3 linked regions of the Caenorhabditis elegans genome follow. The protein of the gene in region 1 interacts with the protein of each later gene in a pairwise test. Each region holds a gene or a part of one and is shown in the gene's direction. Other genes may lie near its edges.

What was found.
Region 2: the proteins of ces-2 (region 1) and T22C8.3 interact in a two-hybrid assay, tested with the Caenorhabditis elegans proteins (2 studies listed by BioGRID).
Region 3: the proteins of ces-2 (region 1) and atf-2 interact in binary tests that used the Caenorhabditis elegans proteins (3 or more experiments, as listed by UniProt).

The regions. Positions count from the first base shown.
Region 1 is NC_003279.8:14,958,960-14,966,200, forward strand, and holds ces-2 (Transcription factor ces-2), read left to right. Parts: upstream 1-2,537; 5' UTR 2,538-2,567; coding exon 2,568-2,849; intron 2,850-2,901; coding exon 2,902-2,964; intron 2,965-5,771; coding exon 5,772-6,062; 3' UTR 6,063-6,402; downstream 6,403-7,241. UniProt on the Caenorhabditis elegans protein: Transcription factor. Required to activate programmed cell death in the sister cells of the serotoninergic neurosecretory motor (NSM) neurons. Negatively regulates the activity of ces-1 which in turn negatively regulates the activities of cell-killing genes.
Region 2 is NC_003280.10:8,619,151-8,623,920, reverse strand, and holds T22C8.3 (C2H2-type domain-containing protein), read left to right. Parts: upstream 1-1,937; 5' UTR 1,938-1,946; coding exon 1,947-2,091; intron 2,092-2,176; coding exon 2,177-2,521; intron 2,522-2,778; coding exon 2,779-2,990; intron 2,991-3,069; coding exon 3,070-3,261; intron 3,262-3,309; coding exon 3,310-3,375; 3' UTR 3,376-3,536; downstream 3,537-4,770. Other genes in the region: T22C8.4 (C2H2-type domain-containing protein), read left to right, coding at 429-702, 806-1,017, 1,077-1,265, 1,316-1,366.
Region 3 is NC_003280.10:8,749,847-8,755,167, forward strand, and holds atf-2 (Transcription factor atf-2), read left to right. Parts: upstream 1-2,139; coding exon 2,140-2,270; intron 2,271-2,344; coding exon 2,345-2,720; intron 2,721-2,950; coding exon 2,951-3,173; intron 3,174-3,255; coding exon 3,256-3,512; intron 3,513-3,585; coding exon 3,586-3,684; intron 3,685-3,772; coding exon 3,773-3,892; 3' UTR 3,893-4,087; downstream 4,088-5,321. Other genes in the region: K08F8.7 (MARVEL domain-containing protein), read right to left, coding at 4,315-4,372, 4,428-4,708, 4,813-4,899, 4,947-5,024, 5,294-5,321. UniProt on the Caenorhabditis elegans protein: Acts as a transcription factor that recognizes and binds to the sequence 5'-[GA]TTA[CT]GTAA[CT]-3', a sequence present in many promoters.

The DNA.
Region 1 (7,241 bases):
AGCACACTTAGTTAAAAATTTGTGCTCAAAAAGTTGTAAACTCTTCCTCAGAAAGAGTGAATTCTCGGAAAGTTACTCAGAAACACGAAGAGTCTTCAAAAGTTTGAGATCTCTAAACATGATATCAACCAAGAACTGAATTCTCATTGGTGTTATCGAATACAAAAACCGTTTTTGGTCCATTTCAAAAGTTATGATAAGTGAAAATTGAGTACACATAGAGAAATTTCAAAAAAGTTTTAAAAAGCTTCACTGTGATATTTTAGCATAAAAAAGCGGTACTACTGACATGATTTCATCTTTTACTATTGTATACATAAAAATCTTAACCTCACAAATTCAAATTCAATTCCATTTGAATATATACCCGCCTGTGCAAGTCATCCATAAAAAATTGGCAATTGCTTGAATTCTATAGAATGATGATTGACAAGTGGATTCGGCTTTCGATGAGGAGAAAAAGTGTCAAGTCCTTTTTGGAAGATAATAATTCAATGATCAATTAGACGTCGGCGTTTTTGTCGGGATTAGGAAGATGTGCGCGAAGTTAATTGCGCTCAACACATGTGCTATCGTAAACGGAGCATGCGAGGAAAGACTACAAACATGTCCTATCTTTAGATCAGTGCCAAATAGAACAAGAACTCGGCTGTTTTTGCCACGGAGAATCGGAAACTCGCCTATTTGGATTCATCAAATTTCAAAGTTTGTGTCAGGATTGTGAGCCTGAAGTAGAGCGTAAATCTTCATAATGTAAATATGATTCCAATAAAAAATTCAAAAACCCCGTATCAGTGCTGTGCGGCTCTTGAAAAAAGTCGGCTCGCGCCGAGAGCCGAGTTCAAATTTTTTTCAGCTCTCGGCTTCCGCCGAGAGCCGAGAGCCCCACAGCACTGCCCCGTATACCCTCCGGTAGGCTAGATTTGTAACAGTTACGCAGTATTACTAGCCATTGCGTAAGTTCAAAAGAGGGACCGATGAGCACATGGTACTTGAAAGAGGATGAAAGGTCGGGAGGATGAATATTGTTGCATGAAGAGAAGTGATTTCGGATGCATGTGAAGCCTTGGTGGTAATATTAATGATATCCCTCTAATATTGAATTTTTAAGATGTGCTCTCAAACGTGAGGGTTTAATTGTTGAAAGTAAGGCCATAAAATTAAAACCCTGAATTTTAGAATACTGACTGCTGGTAATTAAATCTTCATTTCTCATTGATTTCAGGTGATTTCAGACAGCATCAAAACATTCATTCAATGTTTCAACAAATCCGTAACCCAACAAACCTTATTACCTAATGACTACCTACCATTCAAATACTTGCGTAATGATTGTCTCTTCCTCCATGTCTACCACCAACCCCTCATTCTCCTCTTCAGAAGAAGAGCCGACGTTCCAATGCACACGAGACACCTATCTCTCATAGAAAACGAATATTCAAATGCCATTGCATACGGTTGCTCTGCGTCTCGTTCTCTTCCCGTGCTCTCTAGTGTTGCGCACTGTTGCACCCTCTGATGGCCGGTGGTGACCTCTTGGAGGGCGGGCGGAAAATGCTGCCACCCTCATCCCGCATACCGCCTGTCATTTCTCGAGACAGCCGACGCGCAATCACTCTTATGCTCCGATGGGTATATGGGGCAACAGGGTGGTCCCAGTAGACCCAATTTCTTACAACTTCGTTTTTTTTTAGTTTTTGATTCTACTAATAAAAAATCATATGTAACTTTGAACTACAAAAATCGCGCAAAACTCTTAAGATGTTTCCAGTTACAATACTCTGATAAAACTTAAATTATTCACAAAAAAATATAGATTTCAAATATGACTACTGTAGAGGTCATTTCATTTCCTCCCCATCTAACGTATGCATCTTGAATTTTCTTCAGTGATCATTTTTGATTAAGAAATGTATTCTAGAGCTAAAAACTTGAATTATATTATATACTCTTTTGTAATAACAATTAGCCTACTTCAACTTTTCATTTTAAGATATGACAAGCAAAATTCCAATTATTTTGATTAAACACAACTTTTCAAACTTGTTAAGTAACTTGAGGATCCACATTGACTTTATCAGTACTCACCGCTTATCTAACAACCTCTACCAATTCAGGTTCCACCCTAATCCTAGATTGTCTCTTTCCTCCATTTCCTTTTACTCTTTTTTATGATTGTGCAAACATTTGACCTCTTTCTTTTCTACCTTCCAATATATTCTTCTGTTCAATTTAATTTACCATGGGCATATCTTTGTTTTTTTTTTGAAACGGAATTGGATGGTGTAACCTGAAACATGGCTGGTCTATAGTTGAATTTTCAAGCTTATAGTTTATGAAACTCTAAAAATGTTTTAATCAAAAGTTCAATATTGACGTACCCTATTACATCAATTAAAGGATTTTTTTGGGAATTTTCCATCTAGCCTTTGTCTTCTAGGGTTAAAACTATTCACTTAGCTTATCCATCGGAAGTTTAAACTGAAAATCAAACATTTACCTCTTCAACTCTCTTATAGTTAATAAATCTGTGTCTTTTTTAGCCCCAAATTATCACAGCAGACGCAATGGACTTTCATAGAGCACTATCGGCGCTTTTCACAAATCAAGCAGCCGTTCAACCACTGCTCGGCTCACTTGGTTTCCCATTCAACGACGGAACTTCTATTCTGACGACTGCACTTGCTGCACAGTCCGGCGGAAAGAAGTTGGACACTCCGTTGGGGATTTTACCATTTGACTCACTGCCCACGACAAATCTTTTAACACCAACCAAGAAGATCAAACTAGAAGATGAATTGTGTGCCAGTCCAGTGTCAAGCAGGTCGAGTACGGTTAGCAGTTCACACGTGAGTTGGGAAAAATTATTAGCACTTATAAAACTATTGGAATTATTTTCAGTTTTCAAGTCCCCAACGGTCACCATCACGAAAGATGTCGGTTCCGATTCCAGAAGAAAAAAAGGTTTGTTTCAATTTTTTAAGTTTCAAGTGTATACAATTCCAAAAAATCTGAAAACCAATAGAGACTTACCATGAGGTTAAAAATATTCATAAATCGTATTTGCGTGGTCTTAAGTTCAAATCACTACAGTTACGTAACACGACTCCTGTTAGTTACGCAACGACGACCGCGAGGTGTCTGTTGGAGATGGTTTATGGGTGTCAGAATTTTTGATAGTGTGAAAGTCAACTAGTATTAACGCCCCCACCCAAACTATTATAATTATAAGTTGCCTTATTTACCGTATTCCTGGAGTTTCCTCTTAGTGCGGAGCATTGTCAACGCCATTTTGTCTCTAAGCTATGCTAATGAATAATTACTCCTAACAATCCCAATTCAAAAATCCGCTGGTTGTTCCTGGGATAATGCGGTACAGACTGCCTCCAATTAAGAGCTCTTCGAGATTCGGCTCATTGTTTAGCACCACCCAACTGTTGCCATAAGAAAAAGAAGGGGTAATTACATACAGTCTACCTGACAGAGAAACCTTCATGTGTGTGGAGGAATTTGAATATGAATATACGAGAGGGGCATGACCGGACAGGAAGGGGTGTTGCGCAACTATACCCCCGTAGAGGACTTGGGCTACCATTTATATTATTCAAATGAGGCGGGAATTCAAAAAATTAAGATCAGCATCACTTCTTGTTCAGCTAGCATCAAATACTAAGTAAGCTATATTTACTGCGTCGTACAAGTACCCACATTCTCATTTTGTAAAAAAATTGTAATTTTTCGTAGCGCCAGTGCGAAATGGCCAAATATCATAGTGGCACGTTGCCGGCCAATATTCTATTTGCTTTCGGTTTTATGGCCATTTGCCTGAGTTTTTCAAACACATATTACTTAAATACTATAATAGTTAACAAATAATTTTCAACTAACAAAATGTTACCGGTTACTTTTTCTACATGTGTAATTTAAAAAAATAATTTCCACAGAATTTTCAACTTTTTGCAATTTGTTGTTTTGTCACAAAGTGCCCAGGGAAATTTATACAGATGACTAAACATGCATTACAAAAGTCAGAACTGACCAAATTTTCTGTAAATGCGAGCAAAATTTTTGTTTAGGTTCTGAGTTTAAAAACATTTCAAACATGTTGCAAACATTCGTGATGTAAGTTTTCGTTACAAAAACTATTATATAAAGCTATTTAATAGGATTTTTAAAACATGCTCAAAATCTAGAAATTTGAGAATCATGTTCAATCCTCTGTATTATTTTTCCTGGTCGATTGATGACAGAACTGCAAATGGCAGAGTGTAGAAAAATTGGTGCAAATTATTTTCTTATTAAACTTTGTTTCATGAGCACAAAGTTGTGGGTCACTTAGCAATTCTAGTCAAAATATAGTCCCGGCTGATTTCAGCTGATGTAGCTTTTTTCGTAATAAAGTTATGTAAACCAACATCAAGAGTGTAGACAAAATGAACGGCAACATTTTGTTAATTAAAAATATTTTGCTAGATGTTATCGTATTCGAGTTATACTTGTTTGAACAACTCAAGCAAATCACCTTAAAAGCGAAAACGAATAGAATATTGGTCGGCACTGTATATGTTGTCGTTTTATGAAACTTTAATGTCCTTCTGTAACAAAAGACTCAAACTTTTTTGGCCTAACGCATATTACATCTAAGTTTTCTTTTACGGGCGGTGCCCCTCCGAGCATAAAACATACGGAAAAATATATAGAGGGGTCGTACATTTTACACAACAAAACCCACTCATTCTGGTGAACGGCATACGGTGGTTAGAAGAGAGGCTTACACAAAACACAACTGTCACACCGATTTTTTGAATAAACTTACGTGAATATGAGATACTTTTCCTTTGATATTTAATATGGGATTTGCGATAATGTGTAGCTCTTGTTTTATAAAACGGAATAACTTTGGCATATTCCTTAATAAAGTATATGAAAACTCAAAAAGTCGCATAAGAAATAACTAGTAGTGTATGTGTGCTTCATATCTTTTCGGGGATATGAAATATTAAAAACGTACAACTAATGAAATGTATAAAATTATTTAATTATTGTATTTTTGCTTAAAAAAGTTCTTCTAAATAATTTATCTTGAAGCTACATGGAAAAATGGGGAAAAATGGTATCATCAAAATTTCGGCCTAGCGTACTTCAACTGACCCTAACTCAAAAACAACAAAAGATACAGAACAGTCATCAACTAACACATTGTAGTGCTTGAAATGCTTGTTAATTTTGTAGTTGATCATTTTTTCATATCTTTTACGTTTCAGGAGTTAGCGTCGTTCAAAGTTTAAAAAGTCATGTTTGCAAGCATTTTCGGCACTTTCAACTGATATTGTTGTATCGATACGCTATGTATGAGGATGTTATTACACTAATGTGCTAAACTAATAGTCTATTACCTGAGGGTGTATAAGTTTTCGATTTCCCAAAGAAATGACAAAAATCGGAAAAATTAAATGTTTTGATCGGCAGAGAACGGAGTTGGAAATAATCTTAACGGTGCCCATCATGGCTGATATTGATAGGCTTGTCATTCTAACTGTCTTCTATATATCCACAAAAAATATCCTAGAAAAAATCAAAACTGAAAAAAAAACGACAAAACTTATTTATCACCCTAATAGAATTATGATTCTTTGCTAGGCTAACTGTGCTTAGAGATTTATTAATTCCTAGTTGATAGGCTTTTCGCAAATTGTGTATTACTTTTGTAGACTAATAAATTCCTAGTTTCTGAAAACTTAACAAATCACAATTAATCTCAGCAATTACAGGACTCTGCATACTTCGAGCGTCGGCGCAAAAACAACGATGCAGCGAAACGTTCGAGAGACGCACGTCGTCAAAAAGAAGAACAAATCGCATCAAAAGCTCATGCTTTAGAACGGGAAAACATGCAACTACGTGGAAAGGTCTCAAGCTTAGAGCAAGAGGCCGCGCAGCTCAGATTTCTCCTCTTCTCCAAAATCTCACCAGCAAATTCTGAAGTGTCCTGCGAGTCAAACGATTCAACGGAAACTAATGATTCTAATGATTCTAAAAGCGATTCAACCATTGAAGTATGAAATTGTTTGTATTTCATATACCGGACGCTTAAAAAAAGATTAGTGTTGTTTACGCACTTTTGTTGTAAATTTACAGTCGTTACTTCAAAGCTTCTATTTATTTGAATGTTTCTCTAGGTTCTTGAAATTGCTTTATTTTTCTTTCCTTAGCTTTAAATCGGTTCTCTATACCACCCATTCATCTTGATCTATCTCTTAAGCTTTCATTCTCCCTACCTCAATCCCCTATCAGGTTATTCATCTGCGGGTGCGTGTATATTTCCTGATAGTTTTTCAACTTATCATTGATGATTTTTCTACAAATTCTTATTTTGACAATAAATATTGTGTATGCATTTTATGTACTTTTTTGACATTTTTTTTCTAAATGGTTCAGAAATATATGTATTTGATATATTATAGTACACAATATAATAAGATCTGTAACCAACTTTGTAATATTTTGCACTTTATAATAGTTCTAAAAGAATTAAACCTGAATTTTTTAACTCGGAATATATGAATGAGTTTTAAACAATTCCAAATATTTACATTCTTGACTTTTTGTAGCCATTAATTTATTATAAACTGTAGAAGTGACACTTGTCACTATCTAAAATTCGGTGTGCTAGGCAACACTCCTAAGTTATTATTTGTTGCTCCTCGAATTTCAAAAAACTTCTCAAAATTTATGGCGGTTCAAAATTTCGAAAAAGTACACTGATTATAGCTAGCATCTCAAACTTTGCTTACTTTTCTGTGTCGCATCTGTCCGATGTTGAATTTTTTGGAATTATCGTCTTTTATTGCATTTTTTGGTATTTTATTTTTATTTTTTTATTGTTTTATTTCGTTAATTAAACCGATAGGTAATCAAACATCCTCTATATTGTTTACATCTTTAAATGTACATTTTGGGTCGAACCGTTCAAAATCTTCCAAACTGTTAGTTCTCCAAAAGTTCTAAGAAAGTTTCAAGTTATATTCACATCGATTTCGCAATTTTCGCCAAAGTTCATATTTTATTACGCCTTCAAGTGCTAGTAAAACTTTTGTTTTTAACTTTTTGAACAACTCTGACAATGAGTAACATCAAAGTTTTCTGAATAAATTAAAGTTATTATCTGACATCAACACACTTATAAACTGAAATCATGATTATTTCGAACGTTCCGCAAAGTGGCCTTTGCTGCGTCATCA
Region 2 (4,770 bases), on another chromosome or scaffold:
TTGTCATAATGTTGTCATAGACAGGCAACTTGCAATTTATATAATTATCGTTTATAATTATCAAATCTATCATTTTTACAAATTGTTCAAAACAGTTCCATTTCTATTGTTGTCTCTATTTCTCTCCCGTCTGCCAATACTATTTCACTGTCGTTGCAAGTGTTTTGTTAGTTAAAAAGGTCAGGTCATTTCCTCAATCTGTTCGCACCGTGCAGAGTATCGCACCGCAATAAACATATATCCAGAAGAAAGGAAAGATGACAGTCTTCTCTTTCTTGTTTCCCTCTACTTTTTGCTCACTTGTTGTGGTCATAGTCATCTGCTCAACATCACTCTTAACACATTGCACAACAGCTTTTTTTAAATTTTCTTTAAAATATGTCTTTATTTTGAGACATTTGCATCAAACTCCCGTTTTTCTTTCAGATATGAATACTAGCAATTCAACATCAACTTCATTTGGTAGTGATCAAATGGATATTGAAAATCACTCACCAAAGCTATCCGGTGTTGCTCCCAAAAGACGAAGAATTGATAAATCTTCAACTTCATCGGAAGCAAAGATACAAAGAATGGAAGACGCGATGAAGAAAAAATTGGAAAAGGAACAGAAAGAAAAAGCTCGATTGAAGAAACGAGAAGAGACTTTGAAGAAGAAATCTGAAACAGCTGCAGCAAAGAAGAACAAAATTGTTGGAGCTCGTAAGTTAACCAAAATAAATATGCTCAACATTCTGTAAATCACTTTATCATCCCACAATCAAAACCTTAACTGTTACCAAAATTGAACTCGAAAGGTTTTCAGCAAGCGAAGACCCGAAAATTCGAGCTCTCCAATGTGATATCTGCTTTGCATTATTTAAAAATGCTGATAAGAAAAAACGCCATGACCATTCTCATAAAGATGAGCCAGAGGTATACTGTCCAATGTGCAATGCTCCAATCAAGTATAAATACAACTTGAAGCAACATATGAACAAATGTCAACCGAGCCAGAAAGAAATGGAACAAGGCAGTGTGAGTTGAAACTTTTAAGCAAAATGTGTTATATTTTGAATTTCGAAAACTTTTTTCAGATGCTCGCCAAAGCTTACCCGGACTACTTACGTCAACTTCAAGAAGCTGCAGTTAATCCGTCTCTTCCAATGCCAACTTTGAATGGAATGCCATACAGAATGGATCGATATTCATTTGTCACTGGATTCGATATGAGTCTTGATGTTCATTTGGATGTGATGCTCCCGAAATATCCCACAGACGTTTTTGTATGTAATTTGCAGTTATACGTAACATTATGATAATAGTATTTTTTTAGTCAGAAGATGAGGACGCCTTAGACGATGTCAATTTGTTTGATGAGAAGTGATTAGATATTTGTATTCGTTATGGAATTTCATAATTGTCAATTCTTTGTTCATTTTGCCACAGCTGGTATTTCAATCTACATTTTTTCTCGTTAATAAACATCATACGGAATTATTTTTGAAAATTAATTCGAAGCATCAAACTTAAAAGTATAGCTTGGATCGGGCAAATAATTTTGGAACTTTAGCAAACTATATTCTCGTGTTACTAAACATTTTTTCCAGTGAGACTACCGCGTTCTTCTCTCTCACATACAAGACCCCCCACCCGTCCATTTCAAATTCGCTCTATTGAACTACATGTTTCAAACACCGCAAATTTGAGCTCACACAGCTGAGCTCTCATGCTTTTATCAGTTTTTTCTTCTCTCATCCAACTAAATTATCTGTTTAATTTCTCGATTTCTATTCGTTGGTTGTCATAGTGACGATCGATAATTATAATAAAGCACAAGGACTGATTATATACTCAAAAATTATGAAAAAATGCTTACATTTATACTTTGTCTTATGTACATTTTAAATTGATGATTCTTCATGAAAAGCTATGTACCAACAAACTTTGAAAATTTTGTTTCAGTCATGGCAACCACCGAACAACTGGCTAATACCACGCAAAAAGAGCCTGTTATTGATTTAGATCAAGATAGCAACATGGAAATTGCTCATAAAATACAAAACCAAACAAAAAGACTCCCAATTTCCGAACCGGCAAATAAAAATAAAAGTGAGATTTTAAAAATGTATGATTATTGCAATGCATGATTATTAATTTGTGACCTTCAATGTTTTCTTCATTTTTAAAGCTTTAGATGTCACAAGCAAGCAGAATAAAGAAACAAATAGAAAAACATTTGAAAAATCAAAAAGAATGGCAACGTCAACGATTCAAGATCGTGTTTTGAGGACTCAAAAAACTCGAAAAGACAAAGAAAGCACTACTGAAAAAGTCAATGCAATACTTAAAAAATCGGCGAAACAAATTAAAGTCCGAGAAGAGGAAGAAGGAGATGATGATTTGGAAGACGAGTTGACATTGTACCCATCTAAAAGAAAAATGATGGTAGGGTCAAAAAATCGAAAAAGGACTATAAAGCCAAATCGGGATACTATCGCAGAAGAGCAAGAAACTGACGGAGAACACGGAGTAAAGCAAAGTGAGTTATAAATAATAATATTTTTTAAAAATCTATATACATAGTCATCAAAAACTTATTCGGTTCATTTTCACACCTATTCAAAAAACAGAAATTAGCTTGCATATCAGATTTCGAGAAGAGTTTAAGTTTTGAATAGATTATAAAACAAAATATAAACGACATGTTTTTGAAATTTGGGGTAAATTGGCGCACTTCATATGTGATGAAGAATATCTCACTTTAGTTTGAAATTAGTTTAAACATCTATATTCCAGGAGCATTTGATCCAAAGCAAAGACATCGTCAATGTCCAGAATGTCTACTTCTTTTCTCAACTCCGGACAAACTGAAGCGTCATATGAAATCGCATGGAGACGTTCCAGATGTATACTGCTCACTTTGTAACACTCCTATTAAGTTTAAGTATAATTTGAGAGTGCACCTAGAGAAGTGTTATGATAAAATGAAACTCAGTCTACATGATAGTGTGAGTTTTCATATTAAATTTTAATAGTGGTAACGTCTTTACATTTTTTATTAATTTCTCATTATTTTGAAAATTTCAGATGCTCTCAAAGGTGTATCCTGATTTCGTGCGAAAACTTCAAGAAGCTGCAAAAAATCCCGTTCTCCCAATGCCAACTTTAGAAGGAATGCCATACGAATTCACTTTAAAAGGAGTTGTTGGATTCGATACGTCTTTGGATATCACTAAGGATTTAATGTTAGCAAAATATGAGCAAAAGAAACAAAGAGAGGTTAGTAACTATTAATTATTTGATTTTATTTAAAAAGTATTTTTCCAGTTAGCAGGAATTGATTCGGACGATTCGGACGAATTGGACTATTTTGATGATTTCCCAGATGAATGAGATTTTCCACGATAACGATTGCACGAATTGAAATTAATTTATTGAAAACTATACAACTTCCGCGATCTCTCACAAAATTTGCGGCTATTATATTTGTTCACTGTAATTTGTATTAATGTACATTTCATTCCATGATGAATAAATTGTTCAAAATAAGTTTAGAATATTCTAATTTCAAAACAAATATCAAGTGCAAATGGAAATTCATCTGATTGGTTTTAGCAATTGTATGTGGTGCGGTGTGAGATTTTGTTGTCGTGTGTGCATTGTTGCGTCTAAAATACCAATTTCCTGCTGGATACATCACAAAATAACCATGGCAAAGCCTATTTAATTATACTGACATTTTCTTAGTTTGAAAATATTCTGAGCAGAAAATACCAACAAAAAAACTACGAGTGCTGAAAATATTTGAAACAACGCAATTTCATATGAAACAGTTTTTTGTGAATCCTCGTGCAAATTTTACGATATTTATAAAATTATATTCATATCGAGTACTCGAGTACATATCAAGTAGATAAGTAGGCACACAGACAAAACTAAATATCTATTTGTATTTCTTATCTTTTTCTGTTCCTTCTCTCAATCGGATATTTTTCTTACTATGAAACCGTTTATCCACCTACGCAACAATTTTTGTAGCTTTGTTTTCTGAGGATTTCCTTCAAATTAACTGTGATCTAATTGATCATGCATATTTATGGCTACTGCAAACTTTATTTAGTACATGCGTGTTATCGACTATCTCATTCAATGTTTTTTAAAAAATTTTAAAAAGTTTAATTTTTTAATTTGAACTTGTTTCATTTGGACGTATTATTAAATACTATGTTTACTAGGTCTGGCGGAGTTTATGAAAACTGGTAGTGAAAAATAATCTGACAAATAAGTTCATAAATGAAACAGTTCACTGTTTTTATTTTACTTTGTTGGTCTGTTATCGGCAGTTTCAGATCTCTTCAACTTACCCTTTAGGTCCAAAATTGAAAACAATGAAAGTAAAAATGAAAAGCTAATTTACAAAGTTGCCTGTTTCAAATATAGACAAACGAAGTTAAATTTTATTATACATATGTATAAAGTACTATTTCTGATTTCTTTTTTTCATTTTTCATTCATTTCCATGCTATTAAATTTAGAATTATCTCATAATTTGGTTTTGTAGCGTATTTTAATAGAATTTTCTTGTAGTTTTTTGAATGTTTATTTGATCATTTGTTTCTGAAAAAATTTAAAAATCAGCTAATTTTTCAACGACCCATTTGATTGCCACAAGTGAAAAGACCACCTTTGAAGATAATGATCATTCTCATAAATCAATTCCAAAATGACATCATCATTTTGACACCTATTTACTCGAAACCATAGAATGTTTGTGATGGTTATGAACGC
Region 3 (5,321 bases), on another chromosome or scaffold:
ATAGTTTGATGGAAAACACTTATTTTTACTAAAATAATCGAAAACGTAACCTGGAAAACGCTACACCGTCTTTAACTTAAGAAAAAAAAATATAACTAACTCATTTTATTTGATTAAAGTTGTTGATTCAATAATTTTGAAACAGTTTTCATTAATTCACTTTTCAAAGTGGGCAGACTCAAAGAATACCTCTTTTTCATGTGAAAAGCTAAAACTTCACTTGTTCCAATTTAAAAGTTCTAAGAAAATAACAGTTCTTCTTGACAATCCTAGATTCAAGTAAAGATACCTTTATCTAAAATTGAATTTCAATTTTCTCTCCTCTTTTTCCAATTTCATTCACTTTCCTTCCCATAGCCTGCATACTTTCACCGACTCGTTCCCGAACGATATGATCGTGCTAGCCACTCTCTCTTTCTCGTATCGAACTGCGATCTTTCAGTTCCCAACAAGAATACCATCATTTCAACACCTCACTTTCGCAATCAACTACCAAAAGTGCACTCTCACTCTGTTACTCTACCTAACCGTATTATCCGCTCTCCATGTAAAACTACTGAAGTAGACACAGCAAGGGACAGGCACACACTCACTGGTCATCAAAATCATCAAATGATGCAGTGAATTTGGCTGTTCTGGTTTGCAGACAAAAAAGTTTTGGAAGCGGTGCGGGAGGATAGTGGACACTGTTTGTGATTCACTTCTCGTCATTCTCCGAGCCTTACAAACAAACAAAAATAGCTCTCTCTTTTCGCTGACGATTGTCCCCCAACACGGGCGGCGGTTATTTTGGCTCTCGCCACTCTTTTTCAAGGTGCACAATCAAAAACAAACAAGTCCAGCCCGATTTCGCGAATTTGTTCATCTAGTTCAACGCATTTTTTTCATTTTGAATACATTTGCTTGTATCGTTTCCGAGTTTCTTGAACAATTACTTTCAGAATTGAGTATCATTTTTTGTGTTCAGCAGTGAAAAATAACCAAAATTTCTCTATCAGGCTTGCACTCACATTGGTCATATTTTACAGTCCTGACCTAGAGTGCGTTTATGAATTTTTCAAGACTTTTGTTTATCTAAACCTACCAATTTTTTCTTCGTTATCTTTTTCAACTTTATCTTTTAGCCGTATCTCATTATTCACTTTCCACCCAGTAGCTTCATCCTCTTGTCTTCCAATTCTCCGCAAAGTTCACCTACCCTTTTGTACTAGTGACCTGATGCGACGAATTCAACCATTGACCTCCTCCTCCTTCTCACACTTAGACACACATACATCCGTAACCCGAAGCAGCGAAAGTTAAGCATGAAAGCGAAAGGAAAGTGAAAACAATTAGGAAAAGTCGGCATCATCATGGATCGGAGGAGGCGACGCGTTGAAGTCGTTGCGAACGATGAAAAATGATTAGGAGACGGGTCGAAGAAAAAGAGAAGGGACTGCAATGAAGAGAGAAGGGGGCGAAAGTCGGAGGGGATATCCTGTTCTTCGACTGGTTTATTGTAGAGACTGAGAGTGAGAGGATCTACCAAGCATTGTCCGAAACATTGACCATGGCTAACTGGTTTGCAAGGCGCAAATAGGTCAACTGAGGAGAGGCACAACACCGCTTAATTGTTGCTAACTGCACTCTACACCTACCATATGAACACACCTGTACCAGATATACTTTGTTTTCTCACCTTTTTTTAAGTTAGTGATTTTCTGGTTGTCTAGATACTCAGGGATTAGCATTGCGTAAGATCATCTTCACTGAAACCAAAAACTGAATAATTTTTGTATACACATTGGTCAATTAAAATGGCTTACAATTAATTAATAATATCTGGAAACAGTGAACACATTGAACTTCTGATTGTGCTGAATCTCCAAAGATCGTGTCAATTTCAACTCAAAAAGACGTATTTGTCCTTACATCAAATAGGTTGACAGCTTCTTTTAACTCTACTAACTTTCCATTTCAATACACCATGTGTACTAACATTTTGAAGTCAAAATATAAATGTTGTGTCTTAATTCATTTTGAAAGATTTTGGTATTCATATTTCTTTCACCGATGTTCTTTTCTTTCAAATTTCGTACTTCTATATTCTTGATTTTCTTCTTTTGTTTGACTTTTAATCATCTTATTTTTATTTTTCAGATGGACGTCGACTCGGCATCATTGTCACCGTCCTCCAGACTTTCGGTGGTTTGTTCGGCATCCGCCGAGTTCTCATCGAGCTCGTCGGATTCGTCGAACTTTTCAGAAGGATCTCCCCCGGAATCTAGAAGGTTTGAATTTTTAACAGTTTGATGAAACTTTTGAAAGTTTAAATACTTTTCGACATTGATAACTATTTTTCCAGAAATTCCGTAAACGAAAGTGTAATAAAAGATGAACATTACTGGGAAAGGCGACGGAGAAATAACGATGCATCAAGAAGAAGTCGAGAAAAGCGAAGGCAAAACGATCTAGCAATGGAAGAAAAAATAATGTTACTTTCCGCCGAAAACGAACGGTTAAAATCTCAGTTAGGAACGACACCAATTCCACAACCATCAGTAACAGAGCCTCCAACATCTCTGATTATTCCCCAAGTTGCAAAGAATCTTTTCCCAGCGGGTCCAATAGCATCTTTGCAAGCGAGTTCAATGCTTACTGTTCCATTGCTCCAGGCAGCTTCGCATATTCCATCAATGTTGCAGCTTTGTCAACTACAGCCAACAACTATTCAGTCACCGGTAAGTTATTTTATTGAACTTGGAAATATCGAAATTGTGATGATTTAAATAAAATAAATTAACTCGTGGAAAAATATTTACTATTACAAAAACGTCTGAACCGCATATAAAGTTCCATTGTCATTTTTTGGCAACACAACTCAGATTGTCAACAATTTAATGAATACATTGACAGCTGAATGCGTGACCTAGAAAGACAGATGTCCCATAACGTTTTTCCATGTTTGTAGGTCTATGCGAGCACTCAACAACCTGCATCAACGTCAGCATCATCTTTATTCTCTTCATCGTCTTCATCTGCATTTCATCCTTTTCGACCATCAGAAAGTGCTCAGCAGAGTTTTCCATCGAGTAGCGTAATTGTGAAAATTGAACGAAGAAGTCCAGATTCATCAACTGACGTGAATATGCCTCAACCTCAGTTACAGCCTGGATCTAGCGTTATTCAACAAAGTAAGTCGTTGTTTTTGAAAGTAAAGAGCATATTTTCATTTCACTAGTATTAATTGAAACTATAATCTAAAATTTATTTCAGTCGGTCAGCCTGCTCCATCAGGTACGCCTCAACCAGTAATCCAAGCTGTTCAACAAGGACCATCCCTGCTATCTGCTCTTCTTTCACAGCGAAGACCTTCTCCTACAGTACCACAAAGCCGAACGGAACATATTTCGGGGCTAAATTCCCCTCCAAGACATACTGGAAACAAATCAGACTGTGAAAGTGTATCGTCTTCAGCATCTTTCTCTCCATCGCATTCTTCGGAAGATCACTCAAATTATTCGAACAAATCGGTAAGTTTTTTTAAAGGAATTGAAAGAAGACATTTTTAAATACATGTCAAATATTTCAAAAAAAAACTTTCAGCCCCAATATGTGGACAGACGTCGAAGGAACAATGAAGCCGCAAAAAGATGTAGAGCAAATAGACGAGCAGTATTCGAATACAGGTCACGACGAGTTCAGGTAAGTTGAAACTAATTTTAATAGAAAACATAAAATTTTAAAACTTAGATATAAATTTATTGAATCAATTATTACTTAACATTTTCAGCTCTTGGAAGGTGAAAATGAAGATCTTCGTACCCAAATCGAAACGCTAAAAGCAGAAATAGCCCACTTCAAATCAGTTTTGGCTCAAAGAGCATCAGTTGTTACTGCCCTTCACCCTTGATCCCATTCCATTTTCTTATTTTTGACTAATACGGATAGAAAGCCAATTTTCTTCGTCTTCTCGCTAGATGCCCCCCAATCAAAGTCTTTCGCTCTCAAAAAACCCTTCCTCTCTTTCTGCAATACTTCCAATCATTCATGTGCAATACTTTTTAACTTTAAATGTTTCATTAATTGTTTCTAATAAAACCAATGTGTTATTATTTTTGATTTGCTTCCTGTACAAAAAAAGGTGAAACAACAAAAAAAAGTAAAGTCTGCAAACGATTTTTAAAATCCACCCGTCGCTTGCCAGAAAACGGAAACTTTTCAGAATGATATAACTGAATCAGAAAATTGTTTTATTAATGTTTCATATATACAAATTATTATGAGAAAGTGAATTTAAAGTTGAGCATTGATAATTATTTGATTACTTTTCCATTAAACAGAACTTGTTTGCCCTTTTCGTTGATACTCCATGTAAATGTCATGTATACTTCTGAAAGGACATGAAATATAAAATATTTCCTAATTTTATGCAAATCTTGACCCACTTTTCCGTTTCGATGACGGCAACAGACGGTGGCGGAATGTCATAAATTGGCGCCTTTTTTGAATTACGATAAAAATAGAAGGCATTCAGGCCTAGATCCAGAAGTCCAAATACTAGAACCAAAAAGCAAAATACTGAAGCAACTTGGAATGTTCCAGTGGAAACTGATTGATAACATCCGTATTGAGTTATTGCTCGGGAGTCACAACCATCATTGGCAATTAAAAACAGAATTGCAGAGACGAGAATGGAAAGAGCAAAAACAAAAGTGAATAGACATCTCTGGAATTTTTTGACAGTACAAATCTACGCGTTATCAACATTAAAAATAAAACGAATTAAGAAGTTTGGGTTTTTTTTCAAACTTAAAATCTTTTAAAAATTACCTTAACTATGGTTGTAGTTTCAACATCCCATATAAATAATATAGACACCGCTGAAGCTGAAAACAGTAGTGCAATGATTACGAATAGCTGAAACAAAACATTAAGTTCTGACCTTGAAGATTATTATAGCTTACCAGTCCAAATACGGCTGATACTCGGTTAGTCCAATACTGGCTGAGTCCAATTATGAATATTACAATAATACAAAAAATCTGAAATTATAACTGTTTTATTTCTCAAGTTTTTGGATTGGATAGAAAACATTTTAGTTTGGAAACATTAATATATCTCAAACTGTCAAAAGAAAGAAGAAATAAATAAGTGTTCTGAAAATATTTTTAATTATTACTTCCATGTTCGGAAAGGTGCCCAAAAATTTCTAAGATCTTTTCAAGTTATAGCCTCACGGCAATTCTTGCAGATTTGCTTACATTATTTTACAGGTTTTGAATACAAAGAACTATTTAAAAAATGAACTTACTGCTGCTAAAAATCTCAGCACCAAATAA